Linked DNA regions of Oryzias latipes. The protein of the gene in region 2 interacts with the protein of the main gene of each other region in a pairwise test. Links are inferred from orthologs where the notes say so. Each region holds a gene or a part of one and is shown on either strand. Other genes may lie near its edges. The genes, in order: mphosph6 and exosc10.

What was found.
Region 1: the proteins of exosc10 (region 2) and mphosph6 interact in binary tests that used the Homo sapiens proteins (3 or more experiments, as listed by UniProt). The link is inferred for Oryzias latipes from reciprocal best matches to the Homo sapiens genes EXOSC10 and MPHOSPH6.

Annotation. Positions count from the first base shown.
Region 1 is NC_019864.2:5,685,183-5,689,101, reverse strand, and holds the start of mphosph6 (M-phase phosphoprotein 6), read right to left. Parts: upstream 2,650-3,919; 5' UTR 2,465-2,649; coding exon 2,417-2,464; intron 2,376-2,416; exon of another isoform or gene 2,134-2,375; intron 2,026-2,133; exon of another isoform or gene 1,975-2,025; coding exon 1,862-1,974; intron 1,775-1,861; coding exon 1,684-1,774; intron 1,589-1,683; coding exon 1,491-1,588; intron 1-1,490. UniProt on the Homo sapiens protein: RNA-binding protein that associates with the RNA exosome complex. Involved in the 3'-processing of the 7S pre-RNA to the mature 5.8S rRNA and play a role in recruiting the RNA exosome complex to pre-rRNA; this function may include C1D.
Region 2 is NC_019865.2:9,469,712-9,473,530, reverse strand, and holds part of exosc10 (exosome component 10), read right to left. Parts: intron 2,832-3,819; coding exon 2,641-2,831; intron 2,495-2,640; coding exon 2,338-2,494; intron 1,231-2,337; coding exon 1,082-1,230; intron 988-1,081; coding exon 937-987; intron 851-936; coding exon 739-850; intron 651-738; coding exon 603-650; intron 519-602; coding exon 443-518; intron 356-442; coding exon 246-355; intron 167-245; coding exon 74-166; intron 1-73. UniProt on the Homo sapiens protein: Catalytic component of the RNA exosome complex which has 3'->5' exoribonuclease activity and participates in a multitude of cellular RNA processing and degradation events.

The DNA.
Region 1 (3,919 bases), on a different chromosome or scaffold from region 2:
ACCATAACCATTTTATTACATGATTTATCAATATCCGGTTTCTAGCTTTTATCAGACAGAATTAAGAATCTTGAAATATCAGTAAAGCACATGACAAAGATGAATTACTTAATTGTAATGTAAAAATAACTATTTTAGAAATCAACAGAATATTCAACACTTTGCAAAATGTTTGGCATATCAGTGAAAAGCCGTAAACGGTTGAAGAGTAACGGTAGTTGAAAGAATCTGTTATTTAGATGTGACTGGCAACATCTCCAGTGTTAAAGGGTTCACTTGTAGAGGCTCCCACTGGGTAACGTCACTAAGCTACACTTCATGACGTTAGGATGTAGACTTCCACAGCTTCTCCCAGTGTGGCCTACATCCCATTGACAAACCTCTTAAATATATTAGTGATGTCATAGAATGGACGACAGCTAATTTTCTCAAACTCAACAAGGACCAAACAGAAACTGATCCTTGGGCCTGAAGCCACACTCACTTCAAAACTCTGGTATAAATGTAGGAAGATCTTAACTTTAAAATCCACATATCAAACACAACTAAGACTGCTTGTATTCCTTTAACAATGTTGCCTTTTATCATATCTAGACGGGACTTTTGTGATGCTCTTTTAATCTATGAATAGATTCCAGCTCGTCCAGAATTCAGAGCTCACATCCCTCCTGGCTTCCTGTCAGCCTCTGGATGATTTGAAGATTCTCCTTCTAGTTTATAAATGTCTTTTTGGATTGGGACCTTCCTATTTATCAGATCTAGGTCCTTCCAAAACCTCCACAACTCTCAGATCCTCAGGTTCTGCTCTCTTATCTAAACGAAAAACTGAGGACCAGGACCCACATTGAGGCCTCATTTCAGTACCGTGGTCCTCATCTGTGGAACCTGAAGATCTGAGAGTTTCTGCATCTGTGGAGAGTTTCACTGTAAATGTTCATGTAAATTCTCAAAAACGTCTTCATTTAATTCAATTATTTATTTGGGTCTAAAGTATTTCATGGCTTATATTGTTAATCGTTTGTACTTTTATTACTCTCTTTATAGAGCGCCTTCTCAACAATAACTAGTAGCCACAGTTTTCTACCATCTTATGTTCACCTCTTGATTGTTGCTGGTTTTATGACTTTTTATAATTTCAACCTGTTTGTTTTTTATGTCAAACACCTTGTGTTCTAAGCACGTTGAAGAAAGACGCTCCACAAATGAAGTGTTTGATGGATTGAGCCAAATGAGTTCTTTATCATCAGCTTAACTACCCGAGGATGGAGTAGAGTTTAGACCACTACAGAGCAGATTCCATTCTCTTCCTGCGGCTGTGTAGCCACGCCCCCAAAGCTTATATGATCGACATGAAGCGGGTCGACGTTTTAGACCCGGTTCCAGTCCTGGCACCAGTCAGGCTCTGGATCCAGAACTGGAACCGATCTGTTGAGCAAAGAGCAACCCTATCAAATAACATCTGAGGAGGACAGGAGGAAGAGGAAGTGTACCTCAGAGCCATCTCCTCATCTGTGATGTCTGTCTGCATGCAGCTCACATCCTTCTCCTCTTCATCTTCATCTTTTGGATTCAACAAGGTCATCAGTTTCTGTGAGGACAACTGACAGGTCAGAGCACACATGCACACGCACGTGCGCATGCACACGCACGTGCGCACGCACACGGTTGTAGGTTGAACCTCACCTCAACCTCTGGGTTAAAGCCTCTGAAGGAGATCCGGCCAAACTGCAAGTCCTCACAGGGAGTGAAGCTCTCCTCCTCCACCAGCACAGTCCTGATGAAGGAGCAGAGGTCACCATCATCCACACCTACAGGTGTTCACACCACTGCAGGCGAGGCGTGCACGAGCACAGACACGTACTCTTTGGTGCAGAGCTCGGGCAGGTCCAGATACCAATGCTCGTCGCTGATGATCCTCCTCTCGTCTTCCTCCAGCTGCTTCTTCGTCTCTGCATCCAGCCCTCTCTGCATGAACTGCAGCCACAGATGACACTTTCATGCATACGCCTACGTGCACGCTCTCATCTGCAGTACAGTATACCTCACGAGAGTCAGTCCACCCAGGTGATCACGTGTCTTAAAGGTTTACAATGCAACTATGTGAAACCGAGCACCAAACTAAATCTAACCCACCTGTGGTTCGTCATTCTTAACCTATTAACTAGTTATGACCACCTTTCAGTCGAAAGCAGACCAACCAAAACAGTCAAGCCCCAAACTATGCCCAGCTCTGACAAATTCAACCAGAAAGATCCTTGAATGGAGATAAGACAGGCCCCTGCCGAAGGATGAAGAACAAGAGGCAGAATTATGGACACGAACATCAGTTCTGGTCCATTTCTCTCACTCTGGAGCCAACAAAATGAATCGACGCTAGCGGCTCGCGCCGCAGCTAGCTAATGGTGCTAGCATGTACCTTCATGCGCAGCAGATTCTTGGAGAGTTTCACTCCGTCGGCAGCCATCTTTCTCCGGTTAACACAAACAGACTATCCGCGCTAAACTAACCTTAACTGATTCAACCTAACCGTAGGACGTCGTTGGTTTGGTTACTGCAGCAGAACAAACGCCCCACGCGCCGGAAAAGACATGTTGTCAAAAGTCGAGCATGCGCAATTCAGGCAGGCCTGATTAATCAAGCACCGAGGAATCGAGGCTTTTCCTTAAGTTATGTATTTATCCTACAGGTAATTTTTGATCACAGAACAGTGAAGTGCAAGCTAAAGAACAGGTGAATCAACGGAAATGCGTTTGATGTGTAGTTTACAACAAAATAAACACAACACATTATAGATAAACAGTAATAAACACGACAGTCAACAAAACCCAACGGGTCACGTGGCAAACATTCCAAAAACTTTATTTGTAAGTCGCTTTACAACAATCGCTGATTGTACCGAAGTAGCCTACATTTTGTAAAAACATAATTGAAAATTAATTTAAAAGATAAGCATGTCATATCATAAGACGAAAGATAAAACACAGGTCAATAATTTATTTTTATTTTTTTCTGTTTTGACTTAAAAAGAGAGACGTGGAACTCTAGAAAACCTTTAGTTAAAAGTACCATAGTACACTTGAAGTTTATTTTAGTAAGATACTTGTATATGCATTGAGCAAATCTACTATAGGCCTAGTAGTGTAGGAAGTATGCTAACTGTATCCTTCGTCAGACTTATTTGGAACATCTTAAGTTTACAATAAAGCATAGAGGTGGTACAAAAAATGTCAACTTCAACAGTGACATGTGATCAGATGAGGCAAGTGAAGCTCGGCCTCACTGGTCAATGTGATAAAATAGAAAAACGTACACTAAGTAAATATGATTTTCCTCTGATCCGTATTAAAGACACATTTTCAGTTGACTCGACACATTTCCCACAGTTTCTGAGGTTAAATTTGCAGAATTTGACTGTTGTGCGCTCACATAGGGAGCAGAAACTCCGGGTGAGGCTCTGGAGCGCTTCGCGTCATGTCTGACTGCAGGACTCAGTTGTAACAGAGAGTACGGTCAGAGCGATGACTGTAAGGGCGGAGAAAAAGCTTCCAGGGAGGCGAGCCTCGCCAGCGTTTGAAAATGAATAACAATAGATGGGTTATTTTCACCATAAACATTTGCTAAACTTCCCTGCCAAACGTGTTATGGATATGTCACAGAGGCGGCCATTTTGCAATAAGCAATACAGTAAAAGCCATTCTGCTGCCCCTAGTGGAATGATGATGAACTGCAGGGTAAAAGACATGGAAAGTTTGTATCATGCTAATGCAGTGGCGGTTCTACACTAACTTACTCCCTGGGCGAGTAACCCCACAGGCGCCCCCCCCCCCCCCGCACACATACAAAATTTGACAACATCCTGTTGTGTTACCTATCTTCTTTTTAGCAATTTTACATAAAAAATGCATGCATTTTCTAGACT
Region 2 (3,819 bases):
AGAAGCAATAAATTATTATTCTGCCAAAGCACAAATAAAGAATTGTGAAGGTTAAGCTCTTGACATTTCCTACCATTCTAAAAGGATTTTCAAAAGACTCAATGATTCGTCTGGCCTTCATCTGAGCTACAGAGAGGGAGTTTTGCTCAGTGTGTACCTCGGGCTCCTTCAAAACAAAGCACTGATTAAAATAATCCACTACAGTTTCAGACAAATTGATTAGCTGGAGAACTAAAACTTTCTACCTGGAAGAGGGTTATTTTAGCTGGCGCTAAGAGGCCACTCATTTTCTGCTCATCCACATCCATTTTGCTCTCATTTTCAGAGAAGAGTCTGCCCTGTTTAACCAGTGCTTCTACAAGTCAAAAAAACAAAAAACATTTAATAGAAAGAAAAATAAAAAAAAAGACTTCCAACATCCAAACATCCCACTTAAGCCTACCGTTAGGTGAAAAGTATGGCAGTTCACTCTCAGATGCCCTGGATGTATCATGCGGGCCAAACAATGTGACCTCCGGCTGAAAAACACATCATATCTTTCAAATTCAAATAATCACATCTAGGTTTAAGCGGATTTTCCAAACATTTTAATTGTTGCCAACCTTTTTCACAGGTGTCAGGCCTTTCTTTTTTTGAGCAGCAATCTCAGCCTGTGTTTAAAGAAAGTATTGCAACTGAAGTTTTGAAGGATATGAAAACAGTCCCTGCGTCCCAATGCTGCCTCCAGTTTCTCCTCACCTTCAGGAGGGGCATTTCTCGGGCTTGTTGCACTAGCAGGTGTAGCTCATTGACTTGCTGCCTCACCAGCGGGGGTACGGGGTTACAGCAGGCAATGATGCCCTGAGGTTCCCTGAGAAAGTGAGATAGAGACAAAAAGATCGGGCATAAAAAATAAAGACTAGCCGAAAAATCAAATCTAAATTGTAGTTGACTTACTTGGGCAGTTCCTCTGATATTTTAATCATCATGTGAATGGGAAGCGTGTATCTGTGCTCAAAAACAACAACAGAAACAAATTTTTAAACCTGCTAGAAAATTCTGTTTCTTTCAAAATCCTGTGGATGAGCTGAACACGGCCTACCCGGTGCTTTCATCCTCCTGCCTGGCCAGCTTGTCCCTCCAGGCAAAGAGCAGTCTAAAGGCAGTGAGCTGCTGGGTGTTAAAAGACCTTTTCTGCTTCCTCAGAACCTCCAAATATGAATCCTCCGTGAACACGGGCTTCATGTATTTCTGTTACAGAGAAGCCAGAGACACATGGGTTCACATCAGACTGTTATGAGGGAGAAATGGGATGGAGGATTTAGCTTTTTGGATTTTGTACATTTGTGAACTTTTCCAAAAACCCTGCTGCACAGCAAAAAAATAAGACATAAAAAAATAATAAAATCACAAATGATTTTTTTAAATGTGAATAAAGTTCTGTAGTGTCCCTATTAACTGTATATGAGACCAGGACTGAGTGACCCCCTCCCTCCTCATGTTCCAAACAGATAGTACTTGCCGGTTCCAACTAAGCTATCCAGTCACTTATATTCTTTCTAATCCTAATATTTTTCTTTTTTAATGGCAAGTTAATTAAGTTGTAAACTGACTAATGAGATGCTTCAATAAAAGTATCCGGTCTCACGTCTTGTTCGACAGATTTTCCCGAGTGTGGACTTCCAACAAGCTCACACCTGATTGGTGAGGGAGGTGGCCATAGAAACAGTGACCAATCTGACTTCCTCATAACCCCTAAAAACCCCTAAAAGATTATCTAGTGCCTTGGATTTTAACACAACACATTTGTTCAGTCTTTTTGAAATGCTGAATATGACATTACCCGTTTGCCAAAGTAATAACCTTTATATGACCATTTTACAAAGACTATTTATGAATCCACCGTGTTCTGATGATGAAAACTGATTTATAAAATATATTGAACTACTTTTTTCTCAAATAACAAATTGTCCAATGCATTGTGGTCTATATTTGCCAATCTAGTGAACATCCGGGCTCACTAGTTGTTTGAAGAGATGCCTGGGAAATTTCTAGGGCACTGGATTCTGGAATTTAGATTTGGACACCTCGGCAAAATGCCAAACGCCCTACATAATGAACTAAGTAGTGAGGGACACAACCAGTCATAACTCTGTGATGTTGTCTGGCTCCAACATGGCGACATTCATGTCGCCCCCAAAAAAGAAAAAATAGGTTAACCCACTTTACCTCCTTTTGTTGGAGCTGGAAGTTAGCCATTTTCTATGGGTGATGTCACATTCACTCAGTCCAGTTGTTCCATACAGTCATTGGTTGACACTTCAATATGACTATCAGAAAAAGTTAGATTTTGCAAACCGTCAGTGAAATGTCTTTGCTTTTGTTCCAGACAGACTGCAGGAGGCCCGGCTGCCCGTGGTTAGAGTCCAACAGCTGTGCCCTCACACAGTCATAGATATAAAGGAGATAGTGGGTGTCTGTTCGGGCGTACTGCACCATCTCATCTGGTAGGGGGCTACAGGGACAAACCACAGGATAATATTTATTTAACATTTTTTTAAAGTATATCTAAAACCGATTGCATCTTTACAGGTAAAAATACATTTTTTTTCTAATAAATTTACAGCGTAGGAAAATAGGGGGAAAAAATGAGCAACAAACCGAATCCTCCAGTCGGCCAGTTGGTATCTTTTGTCCGAGTCCACATTGCAAAAGTGTCTGAGTAAGTGGTCAAGTGAATTCCTGGCCAGGTGGAGAGCTCGGCTTCCCTGATGCGTGTCAAACAGGTTGACCACATACAAGCCAAAATCTCTCTGGAGCCACTCGATGTCAGAATCAGCTCCATGAAACACCTGACAACAGCAACGGACCACATTTATCAGCTTTCAGGGAAAAGAGAACGACCCCCATTCCTACCAAAAAACATTAGAACTTTCTACAAAGCACATGACATTTTATCTGAATCATCTTCAAAATTCTTTTTTTCTTGCCGACGCCCACACACACTACACTTTTCACAGATGTCCAACAATGCGTGAGTCATGTTTGCTCCCACACACAACAGGACACGCACCAACTTTGTTAGACACGCTCTGAGGGAACACGCAGAGACCGGCTCCGAGCTTTTTCATCCGACTATTATTTAACACAGGATTTGAAAAAAAGGATGAAAATTTCATGAAAGAAAAAGAGCAAGAACAGCATTAAGATTTGAGAATCAATGCTTACCTGAAAATGAGACAAAATAGCGACACAGAAAAATTTTACATGGGAGAAAGTCACTAGTAAAAATAAATACCGATAAATAAAAATCAAAAATTGCACATCCATGAAAACTTTATTGCTGACAAAAGGAATAAAAACATGGAAATCTATGTTTGTTTATTAAATGTTTCCATTCTGCTGATTTTTATAAAAAATGTTTTAACCCTTGGTTGAAGTCATCTTTATCGAGGGAAACATCCATTGAGAATTTGTTGATACACGTTAATAAAACAAGCATTAAACGATTAAAAATCTTTATTGTTTTGAGAAAGAAAGTCAGTAAGTTCTCTGCATCAAATGACTCCAAATCAAAGTAATGCTGCTGGTTGGATTTCCTGGGTAAACTTCATTTAAAAAAATAAAAGAAATAAAAAACGATTTTATTTATGCGATATATATTCATGTGTGACAAAGTTGTGCTTTGTCCTTTCTCTTTAATAAAAAAATAAATAATAACATGGCATAAATAGTGATCTAAAGATACCAATTTATAATAGTGAGTAATCTGGCTTCAACAAATGTTATTTAATCCTTTACTTCAGCTGTTATTTTTAAAGATACTCAGAGCAAAAACAC